Linked DNA regions of Arabidopsis thaliana. The protein of the gene in region 1 interacts with the protein of each later gene in a pairwise test. Each region holds a gene or a part of one and is shown on either strand. Other genes may lie near its edges.

The links. The genes of interacting proteins can lie anywhere in the genome.
Region 2: the proteins of AT5G17840 (region 1) and PDH-E1 BETA interact in a two-hybrid assay, tested with the Arabidopsis thaliana proteins (one large-scale study listed by BioGRID).

The regions. Positions count from the first base shown.
Region 1 is NC_003076.8:5,893,227-5,901,702, forward strand, and holds AT5G17840 (DnaJ/Hsp40 cysteine-rich domain superfamily protein), read right to left. Parts: upstream 4,066-8,476; 5' UTR 3,830-4,065; coding exon 3,692-3,829; intron 3,060-3,691; coding exon 2,798-3,059; intron 2,718-2,797; coding exon 2,653-2,717; 3' UTR 2,427-2,652; downstream 1-2,426. Other genes in the region: AT5G17830 (Plasma-membrane choline transporter family protein), read left to right, coding at 156-221, 693-1,859, 1,950-2,141; AT5G17847 (uncharacterized protein), read left to right, coding at 5,433-5,561; AT5G17850 (Sodium/calcium exchanger family protein), read left to right, coding at 6,027-7,706.
Region 2 is NC_003070.9:10,585,081-10,591,118, forward strand, and holds the start of PDH-E1 BETA (pyruvate dehydrogenase E1 beta), read right to left. Parts: upstream 1,601-6,038; 5' UTR 1,398-1,600; coding exon 1,289-1,397; intron 1,168-1,288; coding exon 1,061-1,167; intron 982-1,060; coding exon 950-981; intron 243-949; coding exon 1-242. Other genes in the region: AT1G30130 (DUF1365 family protein), read left to right, coding at 2,586-2,884, 3,200-3,311, 3,445-3,537, 3,627-3,827, 3,912-4,142. UniProt on the Arabidopsis thaliana protein: The pyruvate dehydrogenase complex catalyzes the overall conversion of pyruvate to acetyl-CoA and CO(2).

The DNA.
Region 1 (8,476 bases):
CATACATGCACACATGACTACAAATTGTTATGTTAATGTAGTAACGAGTCAAAAAAAAAAAAATACATTAATGGAACGAAGTTACACAGATTAATCAATTTCAGATTAATACATGATTTTGATTTGGAAAGTTGTATATAATATAATAATAATACATGACGCCAAAAATACAAATATCACAACGAAATGATGTAGGATGTGAAACTTGTGTACCAAGAAACGTAATACGAGGAAACACTGGGGAAAGAGAGAGAGCGATAGAGACTTAAATCAATTTCAAATCGAAATTATAGAGACTTTTAAGAACTACCCATAACAACAAACAACGGCCTTTTGCTTATCACGTGAAGATTTCAAGAACCAAGACCAAAAAGATCTCTCTCCTTTTCCCTTGCCTCTGTCTATATAAATTCATTCTCTCTTTCTTCGTCTCTTTCTTTCTCTGTCTTCACTTTAACTCTCTCGGTTCTTCTCCTTCATCTCTCGCTCTCTTCGACTCTTTGACTTTTCGTCACCGTTTCCGCCGCAAGAAAACCGTGACTCACCTTCGTCTTCCTCAACCGTGACGTGCGTGACCCACCTTCGTCTTTCTCAATGGTTCTTACTCTACTTCTTCTTCTTCTTCTTCTTCCCCGATCGGCATTAGCGTCGTGTCTCCACATTCTTCATCTTATCTTTTTGCTTTTTTGCAGGAAATCGAACAACAACCAGTAACTCCTCCCGCCGCACAGCAACAGCAACAGCAACCGCAACAGCAAACACTATCCGGAAGATTCTTCAGATGCCTCTTCACTTGTATCTTCTACACGCAACTAACCCTAATCTCGATCTTTGTGATCCTTCTCACGCTACGAGGTCTCGTCTGCACCAAATCACCAAACTTCCATCCCAAGAAATGGTACACTCCTCTGTTATCCTCTGTTGCTGTCTCCGGAGTCCTCTCTATAGCCTGGAACTGCTTCTTCGTCTGCAACATACGAGCCACAGTCAAAGCAACGTTCTGGTTCACACCGTTATTCACAATCTCCGTGGGGCTCTTCCTAATTCTCCTCGACAAATCCAATCCCGTCGTTCTATGGATAGGTGCACTTCTTGTCTTCTATAGCATCGTCACCGCAGTGTATGGTTCGCTTCACGTCACGAACAGGCATGAATTCACCTTCCAGACGATGTCAACCGCCACAGGGATATTACCCGCAAGAACCAGAGCAATAGCAGTTGTATCAGTGATCATAAGCGTCTTTTACTCTGATTTCTTGGTTGCTGGAATCGGTGGAGCTACTGCTACAGGAACACGTCTTGATATTCTTTTCATCTCCATCATCGTGATAAACCTTGCCTGGACAATGCAGGTTATCAAAAACGTACAAGAAGTCGCGATTTCGAAAGCCATATATGTATACTTTAGCCGTGATGATCTCATGAATGCATGTGATGCTCTTGGCGTCACTCTGAAAAAGCAGCTCGGGAGTGTTTGTATTGGTTCAACACTTGTTCCACTTATTGTACTCTTTAGGGGAACGATTCGGTGTTGTAATCGGGACATTTATGCAAGTACCCCAGGCTGCAACTGGATTGCCAATCATATCATTTTGGGTGGAAATAGATATGGATTTGTTCACGTGGGAGCTCACAACAAAGGGTTAAGGCAAGCGTCTAGTGATACCTGGAGGAGGTTTAGAACAATCCCTGAATTTGAGCAGTTGATTGATTTTGACATCACCAGCTCCATCTGTTTCTTTAGCGCCATGGGAATTGGTGCAATCGCTGCATTAACTGCAGGAGTATGGGAGCTTCTGATCGATAAGGATCACTACTTTGAGCTGACTATCTATGCTTTCATCATCGGATACTTTGTGGTAAGATCTTCTTATCAAAATGCAGGAAGAGAATCAAAAATGGTTGTACTGTGTAACCTTATGTACCTGTTTTTGTTGGTATGTTTTCAGGGGAGAGTTTCTTCTGCGTGGCTACAAGCTTGTGTGATGGGTTACTATGTAGCTTATTCTGAAGATCCACAGAACGATAGGTTTGATGACACGATTCCACAACGTATCGAGCGACAAAAAATCGAAAAGGCAAAAAGAGAAGTCGAGGATAATAGAGTGCAGGAAGATGATGACGTTCCAACACACGTGTAGAGAGCTCACATACGGATGGTATCCACTTAGTTGAGAAAAATACTTTCGTTTCTTTTCGTTTTTTCACAACACTGAGGCTTTTTCAAGCTTATAGACTCTATAGATTGTAGATCATTTAGCTTTATATGCAAAAAATGCAGCTAGAGAAGAAAATGTACATACAAAGTGAGATGAGAATGATTCAGTTCTGATTCCTTTCCCTGCTTTATTTTCTTGCTCTTTGATCCGTTTTATGTATCTGATTGCATAAAATAGTTAAAAGAGAGCAGTAAAAGAGATAGAGAATCATGGTTTAGTCACAGCCACTTAGGAAACCATTTTATATAACAACAGAAAATGAATAGTCTGGGACAAGATTGTGCATAGTTTAGCTAGAGATTACATCAGTACAAGAACACAAATCTATGTATGGAACTCAAAAAAGTAGGCTTTTACAATAAGATCAGAGCTAGAAAAAGTGGCGAATAGGTAAAACAGAACCATGAGTGCAAACAAGTGAAACACGGAGTCATCAGTGTCCTACGTGACCACGCCCACCACAAAGTTTGCACATAATATTACCACTTCCACCACAACCTAAAACAGTAGCAACAAATGGTTAAGATGAAGGTAATTTGCATAGAACAAGTAGAGCATGTAGGATAAGAGAGGCTTACCTAAGCAACGGACTTTAACAATGATGCCTTGACTCTCCATAATGGAATCTACATATAGACCAGTTCCAGAACAAGTGGAACAAAGCAATGCACCTTTAGCTTCACAACAAGTGCAACGCTGATTATCACCAATCTCTCTCTCTGACATGGATAATCCAACTGGCTCCTCGATTATTTCCTCTGGTATTGGTTTATCATAACAGAACATTGACTCAAGACTGCTTCTTTGCCTGTGCACGTCTCTTTTTAAACATGACTCAGCCTAAGAATCCAAAGATTATTCTCAACTTAGCAAATAATGTTTCATCCAAACCAGGAGAAATAAGCTTCACTTTTTTTTTTTTTCACTTTCTCAGTCACCCTAATGTATAGATGTTTCCCGGAAAATCCAAACATGGAAAACAAGTTCTGAGTTGTGCAATCATACTCAACATTTGAAGTCATAGCATAAACATATATCTGTCACTAATTATAGTTACTAACGCTAACAGATCATAATCATCATCATCATCATGAGACAAGTCTATGAAAGTACACTGGAATGGGGAAAATAACTCAACTTTTGCAGAAAAGTTTCTATTTTGCCACAACTTAAGCAACAATACAACTTCACAGGATTCGGAGTTTTGGAAGCAACATATAAATGTTGTATACTGATACTCACTATTGCTAGTACTCACAAGTCACAATCATCATCAACATTAAACAAGTCAGGACAAGTGGATTTGTATGATTCAGATTTCCATTGGAAAACTAGCTTTAAAATTCCAACAAGTGACTTAATTTCAGATGCAGAAATTTGAATAACAAGACACTGATACGATTCTAAACAAAAATCCAGCTGAAAATGATATAAATCGAAGCAGAGGGAGAAAGTGGAAAAAGAGATTTAACCTTGATAGATGAAGAAGGAGGAAGAGAGCACAATCTTAAGCGGGAACTGAATCCAGGGGAAGCAATCCGATGTCCGCCAACAGAACTCGATTTAACCGGAAATGTAGCCGGAAAAGCAAAATCTAAAGCGGAATTCATTATCGGCTACAATGGAATTATGAAATTGAGACGAAACTACTGAGAATCGAAAGATGGAAAATTCGAAATCGAAAAGAGATTGGAGAAGGTAGGTGATAACTTTGGAGGGATCGCCGTTCATATGTCTCAGTTTTCGTTGAGGTCCCATAACCGGACTATACCGGTAAGATATCCGGGTATCTAAACCGAGCCCATAAACATCAAAAAGGATGGGACGTGACAGTAATCAATAAATTTGAATTGGACAAATGGATCCATAAAAAAGATTATGGGCCAACTTTATCATAATGAATGCCCATCATCAATTATTTTTGGGACATCTTTTTGGAGTCAGCCTCTTGTCTAAAGGTGGACGTCGGCTAAAAGTGTTCACTTTTAAGATATTTCAGCTCCAATTAAAAAGAGTGTTTTTAAAAAAACAATCAGACACTAGTCTACAACTTTATATGTTAAGGCATAAGTTTAAATGATAGCTAACAATATATAGATTAAAGGATTTGTTGGTTTGATGTTAGATAGTATCTGATCTCCATGAGTAAACGAAGATTTTTATATCAACTAGAAAAGGTAAAAACAAATATCACCGTCGAAGGGGACGTACACGTACGTGCTGATTCTTGTGTTAATGGATCGCTTCTACTCACTTAGCTCTCAAGCAATGAATAACATCACAAAATAAATGCAAAGATGTAAACAAAAGTAAAGAAAAACAAAACGCGTTTGAAGACCGCGTTGCTCTAAATGACTCGGTACTTTTTTAATATTTGCAATTCACACTCGTAATAAGTCCTCTTATCTTTATATTTTGTTCGATTTTATTTGAAAAATTCCCTAAATATTTTTACAAAAATCGTGTCCTAAATCCTAATCCTTCGACCGACTTTCTCGTTTTAGTAGTAAAAGTCGACCACACTTTTTTTTCTTTTCTTTATTCAGTCGACCTCATTATACAATTATCTTTGTGTGACTGTGTGGAGTATACTATTAGTTTCCTCATTATTAACTTTATCTTGTCACACTATACTTTCCTTTTATATTAGCTTCTTCTACTTGTTTCTTTCTGTCTTTTCTTTTTGGGAACTTTCTCTTTATGATCGTGGCTGTCTCAATCTATTTGGAAATTCAATATCCATGTATACTTATTTCTTAAAATACGTTCGAATTAAGATGTTTCAGCTTATATAAAGGAAGTAATTTTGAGCTAATAGAAAGCCAAATTATTGAATTAATTTTCTCTTAATTACATTTCAAGTTATTCTGCCTTGTGTAAACTGGAAGTAACAGAATAAAGGCGGTGGTTGTGGTTTATACTCAATTACCAATAACTATTTCACAACTAATAAAATTAGATTAAAATGACTGTTATAGATTAGAGTTTTACTTGTTGGAATAAACAAACATCAATTCAGTACTGACCACATCCTTTAAATTAGTTTCTTATATGTAAGTTAACCTTAAACCGGTAACTGATTACGAACCAAACCGGAATATTTATATTATTTTTTCCATAGTTAGTGGCTTAAGGAATCAGCACTAAATACTAAATATTGCTGGGTCAGCTCCTTATAGTAATATTTAATTTGTGGAAAAAGCTTCTAAATTTATGTATCCTTTCGCTAACCCTCCCTCCTTCGTCTTCCTATTCTTCGCATACGTAATGGAAAGAGAAAATGACGCACAGTTCATCGTGAAGCCGACACATAAGCCATTTCCAAAACCCAAATCACCCTAACCCCAAAACGGCAATGACAAAGTGACAAACTTTTTTCAGATTCTTTATATAAAAAAATAGTATTCCTCAATCCTCTGTTTTTTTTTGTCTCTGACGTTTGTCTTCGTCAGGTCTTGTTAAAGTGTTTGTTTTGTGTGTTTGTGGGTGTTTTCTTCGCTTCGTCTCCTTTAAAAGCTTCGTTTCGAAATTCGATCCCTTTTTTGCTTTTTCATCTTCCAGATATTAAAAAAGGTCAGTGCTTTATCTTTCTCTTTCCGCGTATAGTTCGTGTTTATCTAATCTGTTTTCTTCATGATCTGTTCTTATGGAGTAAACCCATTTATAGATTCTCAACAATAAACCCAAATATCTTCTTTTTCAATTTGACTCTCTGATAAAAAACCAAACTTTATCTGTTTCTTCGTTTGCTCTGTTCTGATTTGTTTCTTTTCGTTTTTTGTTGAGTTTCCAGGTCTTAGCTGATTGATGGGATTTTCATTTTCTTCAAACCGTTTTGGTTACTTGACAGTCACATTCCTTCTCGTTATCTCTTGTCTTCTGTTGGGTTTCTTCACGAATCCTGTTGATTCAAGTGCTCTAAGACCTAAATCAGAGCATGATTGTAGTGCCCTGAAGCACTTTCATGACTACAAATCAAAGTGTGCTTACCTGAAATCGATTGATCCATGTGCTAGTCAAGGTTTCTTCGATTACCTCTCTTTTCTCTACTGTAATTTCGAAGGTTTCCCAATTTTGGGTCAGTTTCTTCTCTTCCTCTGGTTGCTTCTCTTGTTCTATCTATTGGGTCATACGGCCTCTGAGTACTTTTGTTCATCTCTTGAAAGTCTCTCAAAGCTGCTTAATTTGTCACCAACTGTTGCTGGTGTTACTCTTTTGTCGCTTGGTAATGGTGCTCCTGATTTGTTTGCAAGTTTGGTCTCTTTCATGGGAGAATCTAAAGGTACTTATGATGTTGGTCTCAACACTGTTGTGGGAGGTTCTGGTTTTGTTACCTGTGTTGTTGTTGGGATCATTAGCATTTCGTTGCATAAGAGACGTGTGAGGATTGAGAGAGCTGCGTTTATAAGAGACATTTGCTTCTTCTGTGCTGCTATTGGTTCTTTGGCTTTGATTTTGGTCTATGGAAAGATCAATTTCTGGGGTGCTCTTGGGTTTTGTTCATTGTATGCTGTTTATGTTGCCTTTGTGGTTCTCTCTTGGAGATTTGGTGGAGATCAAGGTGCTGAATCTGATCTTGAGTCAATCCATAAGCGTGGTAGTCTTAGTGAACCAATCTTGCAGAGAGACGGTCTTGAGGAAATTGAAGATGGTGTTGTTAATGGAGAGCATCAGATTGTTGATGATGATGATGATCACCAGAGATATTATTACTGGAAAAGATTGGTCATTTGGGCTATCACTCTGCCTCTCAACTTGCCAAGGATATTAACAATTCCTGTAGTGAGTGAAGACAAATGGTCTAAACCATTAGCTGTTGCCTCGGTCACATTTGCCCCGGTTCTGTTGTCGTTTTTATGGAACTGGAAGCGGAAACCGACGAGTTTTGAGGCGGGGGTTGTTTATCTCATCGGGTGTTTGATCGGTATAGCTCTTGGTTTCATTGCAGGAGCCACGACGAAGAAATTAACCCCACCAAAGAAATGGTTGTTGCCTTGGTTAGCAGGAGGGTTTGTAATGAGCATGACATGGAGTTACATATCAGCACAAGAGCTAGTTGCGCTTTTGACCTCACTAGGATACATTTTCGGTGTAAGCCCTTCGATCTTAGGCTTAACGGTCCTCGCTTGGGGTAATTCAATTGGAGATCTAATAACCAACTTGACAATGGCGCTACACGATGGGAACGAAGGAGCTCAAGTGGCTGTATCGGGATGTTACGCCGGTCCGATCTTCAATACATTGTTTGCTCTCGGGATATCGCTTGTGGGATGTGCATGGGAGGCTTATCCGTTGAGCATTGTGATTAAGACAGATCCTCGTTTGTTGGAGAGTCTTGGATTTCTGGTCGCAGGACTGGTATGGTCGTTCTTGGTTCTGTTTAGTAACCGTATGAGGCTTGGTGGTGTGATGGGCATAGGGCTTTTGGTTATTTACTTGGCTTCATTGTCTCTAAGAATTATGCAAACCGTTGGAGATGCTCACTAACTTTGATTTCAACTCATAGTCGTTTTACATAACATGGGTTTGTATAATCTTCTTCAAGTAAAAGGAATCGATTTTGTAATGTATAGATATATATATATGTATAACTTTATGTAGATTGTAACGTAGATTTTTCATAATATGATACAATTTCGGTTTCGTGGAGGAAATATACAAATCTATTGTAAATGTATGATTTGAAATCATTCTAATTCAAGTTGAAACAAGAAAAATCAAAAAGTCGTTTAAAATAAGGTTCGAAACCACCAATATTGATCTGAAGATTACTAGTTTCAATGATATCGCACAACATGCATAGCTTAGAATAATTTTTAGAGTAATGGAGTTCAAATTGAGTAGCTGGTTTTTTGATAGGTGTCAGATTCTCGACTAGTCAACAATCTCTGCTCATACATTCAAGTAAACACATACATATTATACTCCATGCAGTATAAGGATAATGTAAAAAAAAACCATCTCATATTAGATAAATTATCTAAGATAATATTTTTTTTGTTTTCAAAAATCTCTACGTTAATTGTATTTTCTTCTGCCAATATATTTGTTTATTTTCAATTGTGTATTTAGTTCCCAGTGTTGTGGGAGTTGTTTGAAGCGACAACGCTTGTCTCTTTTTGCCAATTTGCAATGAACTCAAGATAAGATGTGTTTTTTATTCCTAATCTCATCATGACTCGTGTGCATAATAATTTGGCACATTTTTCTTGTCTGCAAATTGTTTCCTTGGAAATAGGATAACTCCAATTTTTGGC
Region 2 (6,038 bases), on another chromosome or scaffold:
TACCTTCAATAACGGGTCTTAGACCAGTCATGGCAGCTCCAATGCCCATACCGGTGAATGCATTTTCACAAATAGGAGTGTCGAGAACCCTGAGGTCACCAAATTTATCAGCAAGGCCTTTGGTTACCTTGTAGGAACCTCCGTAATGGCCAACATCTTCACCCATAACACATACATGTGGATCTCTGTCCATCTCTTCTTCCAGACCTTCCTGAAGAGCCTCGAAAAGCAATAGTTCATGTCTGTAAATTCATACGAGAAGATTGGTCACACTTTGTATTTTTGACAAAAAAAAGGCATCATCATGACACTTATATTGAATATGAGCATGGAAGTTTAAAGGTAGATAAAGAAAATGTGCTATTTGTGACGACTAATACATGAAAGAAAATGCCATGGTGACATCATCATGGATTGCTTATGTGAAAATGAAGACAACACACAAACCCCTAACAGAAACATTCACTAAATGGAAAGTCGCATAATATGTAACAGAAGCCTAACCAATTGCCGTATGATGTCCAGAAATGTTCTTGAGAGTTAAACTATGTTCATGGGAATGAACTAAATGGTTTAACGGTTTAACCTAAACATTTGGCATCATAAGCACAACCAAAGGCATCACTAGAATGATTACTGGAAGCAGACATGCAACACATTAAGCTTTTGCCATCACTATCAACTATAGATTAGTGTTTTGACTACTCTAGAACTGGCTAGGATCCTACATCACCACACCCAATAGCACATAGTTAAAAACTTCCTCATCGTTATCCAACTTTGAATCCCCACTAAAATGTAATAAAACTACTGAAACAATCTAATCATTTAGAACAGAACATGAAAGATCCAATTAGAGATTTGTTCAAGCAGTGTCTAAATCCTTCAATGAGCACAAAAGAGTAAAATCAAAATCGAATTTGCAAAGCTAAAAAGGTGCAAAACAAACCCAGTGCTCGCAGACGTATCCGCCTCCTTCGTCTACAAAACAAAAACGTACATCATTAGAGATTAGAAGGAGAAACCATAAAAATCACAAAATCGGAGACAAAGACATTACCGCAACAGCATTTGGAATCAATTTCTGAGAGTGACGAACTCTAAGTCCAGAACCAAAGCTCTTCTTACTCGCATCAGATCCAGCCACTATATATCTCTGGCTCCTCACTGCATCAAAATCAAACAACGAAACTGCTTTAAGATCTCACAAATCCATCTCAATAGAAGCTCCAAAACACCAGAAATCGAAATCAGAGAATGCAGATCGATCATCAAATAAAATTCGAACCTGAAAGATTTGTGCGAGAAGGAGCAACGAAGAGTTTCTTGGAATCGACGGAATTAAACGTCGATAACGTCGTCGTAGCAGCTCCAGCTCCATGGATTATCGAAGACATTTTTTATATGCTCAAAGCTCGGGACAATTTCGAAGAATTTTGGACTGTTAATATAAATATATACAAGTGTATGCAAACAGAAAATGGCGATACGAAACAGTGACAAGCGGAGAAATCGAAGAATTAAATGAAATTGTCGAAATCGAATTAAATTATGTGTATTGTTGTTGTGCAATCAAATCCACATGTTTACATTGTTTTCATCGAACTCATGTGGCTTCTCTATTGTATAACAACCAATGTTAATTTAACACGTGTTACTTAACGACTGGATTGGCACGTGTACGTATATGATTTGTGGATTATCACTGGGTTTGCTTAACCACCTGGACCAACCTAATTACGTTAACTGTGAGATTTGAGGTTTCCACCGATCTAGGAGTTGATGGGCCTCAAGTGTCTTGGCCCAGTAATTAATAGATCAGTATTATCCAGTAAGCAAATTTTCGTCAAAAAAGAACTTTTTTTTTTCTCCACAAAGAACAAATTTTCATAAGCGAAATATAAACGTAACTAAAGCATTTACATTGAGTCTCTCTAGTCTCTACCAATATATTGTTTTGTATATTTTATACTCTGATTTGTAACACATATATGGTAAAATATTATTTTAATGCGATTATAAAAAATTTACCAATCAAATGTATGCAGTTATTTATTTTATTATCTGATTTTTTTTTAAAAAAATTATTATCTGATTTTCTAGTATGCAGTTTTCATTCTACGAGTTTTAGTTCTGTGAATTCTCATAATGCAAATTTTTATAAATTTGAGAGATGATTTAATTATTTATCCATATGCAAATACATATTATATACAGTGGTTTAGTAACGTCCACGCAACAGCCACGATTATACGATAAATACCCTATGATAATAACTGGTTGCAACATTAAATAAAACAATCCTTTTTGGCTTTTGGGTCCACACAACACAATAATATACTGTCACTGAAGATAACAATGGCCTCTATGAGACAAATTCTAAATTAATACTAACTTATAGCATTTTAAAACGGCATTATTAGATTCAAAAATAATAAAAGTAAATTACTCGTTAAATTAATACTTATCGTTAAACGTGGCATTAAATCATAAATATACCAAACCTCTGCATTTGAAGGGTCATCAATGTCAATCTCTGATTTTTGAAAAAGATCAGATAGAGATAGAGAGACAGAGGTAGAGATATGGAATTGCTCTTTCTCCTCTGTTCAATCATCTACACTTCAATCACTTCCATCTTCTTCTCTCTTCTCCTCCCGTTTCGCTTCCTTCTCCACCGTCTCCTTCCTTCACGCGCCGCCGTCGATCCTAATGTCTCTTTCTACGAAGGCACAGTCTGGCACGACCGTCTCCGTCCTGTCCGCCACTCTTTCCGTTATTCCGTTCGTTACGCACTCTTTGACCTCGACAAAGCTATTAACACACCGCCGGATCATTTCTCCGCCGACGAAGCTCGCCGTGTTTCTCGTACCACCGGGCCAATGTAAGTTTGTTGACTCGTCCAAGATCGGAAGAATCTGGATTTTGATACCTAGAACTGAAACTTTATAATGCGTAATGTTTTTGAGGAACAAACAAGATTTGAAAGATTCTGTTGATCAGGAGTTAGTTAGATTTGCAAAATTGAGTGTTTTTTTTAGTTTCTGTTTGGTTTTATGGTTATGTTTTGCTCTCTAACAGTGTAGTTTGGTTGTTTTTGTAATGAAATTGTTAGGTGAATGAATCTTTATCAGTTCAGAAATTGTAATTGTGATAGAGGAAGTAGTTTTGATGAATCTGTAATTTTTTCGTGGTGCAGATTTCTATTGACAATACCACCAAGCGTTGGATATGAACAAAACCCATTGAGTTTATACTATTGCTATGACTTGGAAGGGTCAAGTAAGCGCTTAAGTAAATGCATTGCTCAGGTATATGAATCAGAGGTTTTTGTTGTTCCTCTGTTTCTTGCTTATGTCTCTCATAGTAATGAAACCTTATGGTGCATTGGCTTTATTGGTATTAGTGTCTCTATCTATTGATCTGATTAGAGGAATTTTGTAGGTTACAAATACGCCGTGGGGGGAACGAGTGACATTTGTATTTGACCCTGAATCTGACTTGGTTGCTAAATCATTACAAGTCAGTCCTTTCATGGTATGTTGTTGTTCTTTGATATTATTAACTTCTTTGATTGATGTTTTATCAGTTTTGTGTGATTGATTAGAGGTTAAATAACCTTTTAGGATATGCTTGGGAATTGGAAAATCAGAGCTAATGAACCTGGAGATGATTTATCTGTCTCCATTGCATCTCAACATCCTCATTTCGGTAACTATTTCTCTGCGACATTAAAGGCGAAAAGGATACCCCTATCGCGGGTGTCTGATCCCGCTGTTTTCTTCTGGTTGATGCCTCATAAGGTTGCGATATGGATCTATTGGCATGTAAGTGACTTATATTTACTCAAAAATCGTTTTAAGTACAAATACTCAAAACGTTGATCAACTTAACGTCATTTCGTTGTTTAGGCACTTCAACTCTGGTGGAAGAGTGTACCTTTCATTCAACACCCGAGATACTCGAACCCATCATACAGGGAGGAAGCAGCGAAACGCGATCAAGAACTTCGTTGCCCCGGGTTAGATGGGTCTGATTCTGATAAAACCAACAAATTTGATGGGTTAAAAGGAGATGGTTGTAGTAGTAGTTTTGGAGGATGTCGCTTTGCGTGGCGAGATGCGAACTGGCCTTGGTCATGAATACATACACTCTCAAGGTAATAAACACACTATCTTTTCACTTGTCTAAAAATGTTTAAAAACCTGAACTGATACTAACCTATTCTTCATACCTGAAAATGACAACAAATTATGTTCTATCAAATCCTGAAATATGAAAGTTACACCCATTTTTGGTCTTTGCTCAATGAGAAAGATTTTGCAGGCTTCTTTTCATCCTTGGAATCATCAGTTTTCTCTTTTGATTTAGGGGGTAGCAGATCATCAAGAGTTTCGGAATTTACGGTCATTGTCCAATGATATGATTGGTATAAATCATTTGAAAATCTCGTCTCAAATTTAGTTGGCTTGTTTAAAATTTGGCTTGAACACAAGTGAACCTTGTTGATTAATAGAAAAATCAACTTTGCATTTTGATTGATTCGTTTGTAATAATTCTCATCTCCGAAAATCCTAACCTCTGTTTGTTGATAAGTCTTCATGTGATCATGTGACTTGATTTCTTGCAAGTTAAAAATTTGTATATATGTATACGATATATACTCTTACCCTTAGGTCTAAAAACTTGTGTTACTAAACTAGGTTGTGATTAGTCGATGGTATATATTGATTTTTCATGTATTTTCTTTTGAGTCATTATAGAATTTAAATGGCAGCTACAATGGCTCTTTTGAGTTTAATTTAAAGCTGTTGACAAAAAAAAATAGTTTAAAAGAGTATTTATTTTTTATTTAAATAAAGTGTGTTGTTTATTATATTATTGAGTTTGTAGTAGTTGTTACCCTGTAAGATTTCTTTACTATAAAACGAGTTTTTGATGTAATTTGGATTTGTGGTTCTTATCAATTTACGCAGGACTCAAATTTGTGGTTCTAATCAATTTACGAGATTTCATCAAAGTTAACACTTCCATATGAAAAAATGGTCAATCACCAATAAAATACTGATTTTGGGATCCCGAAATCTATTCTTGTTGAAGCTTAGTGAAAAACTGATTCTTGGATCAGCCTTTTGACTAATTTTGTTTTGGTTATACCTTCTTTTTTCAAAAGTCTTATCATTTTCGTTTTTTGGTTGGGTTGAAATTTTTCATTTTGATGTTCATAGGCTCATTCAATAAATGATTTTTATATCCATAAAAATAATTGGGTTACGAAAGCATAATCCAACAAATTTACAGTTTTCTTTCCGATATTTTGTTATACAAAACAATTTTTTTCTGACCATTTCTTGGTTATTTCTAGTAAACTTAAATCGTTATTTTTTAACTTTTTGAAAAATCATTATTTATAGAGCAACAAAATGATTATCACTATTCCAAACAAATGAAAGTTACAGATATAATCAGAGTTATCAGACCGAAATAATGTTGGACTCATTCTGAGTCAAACCGTGCCAATTGCAAACTTTACATCAATGTGGTAGATAGCTGCTTTATGTGTCGATTGTTTGTTACTTTGTACAACACCAACCACATGTTAAGTTCGGTACCAAAAGAAGAGATTTTATTCATTTTGATCAAATCATTTGACTTATTTAGTTTTTGAATATCGACGATTTTATTTTCTATATTGTCGGTATATATCGGCACATCTAAACAAGATTTCGTCGACTACTTATGGGCACCTAATCAAGTTATTGTGTGAAAAGTAAACGATATTTATCAAATAATAATCAATTGAATGGTGCATGGAGAACCAACAAAGCAACAATTTTTGATTACTTGATTAGCAATCAACCTATAAATGTTTTTTGATAATCTAATAGCAATCAACCTAAAGACACGTGTTTTGACTCTCCTTTTTTTGTGTGCGTTTCTTACCGCAAAAAGAATATATATAACAGAAAAAATGTTTAGTTTATCAGGGCAAAAAGAATGTTTATTATTTTATAAGAGGGGAAGAAATGTTTAGTTAT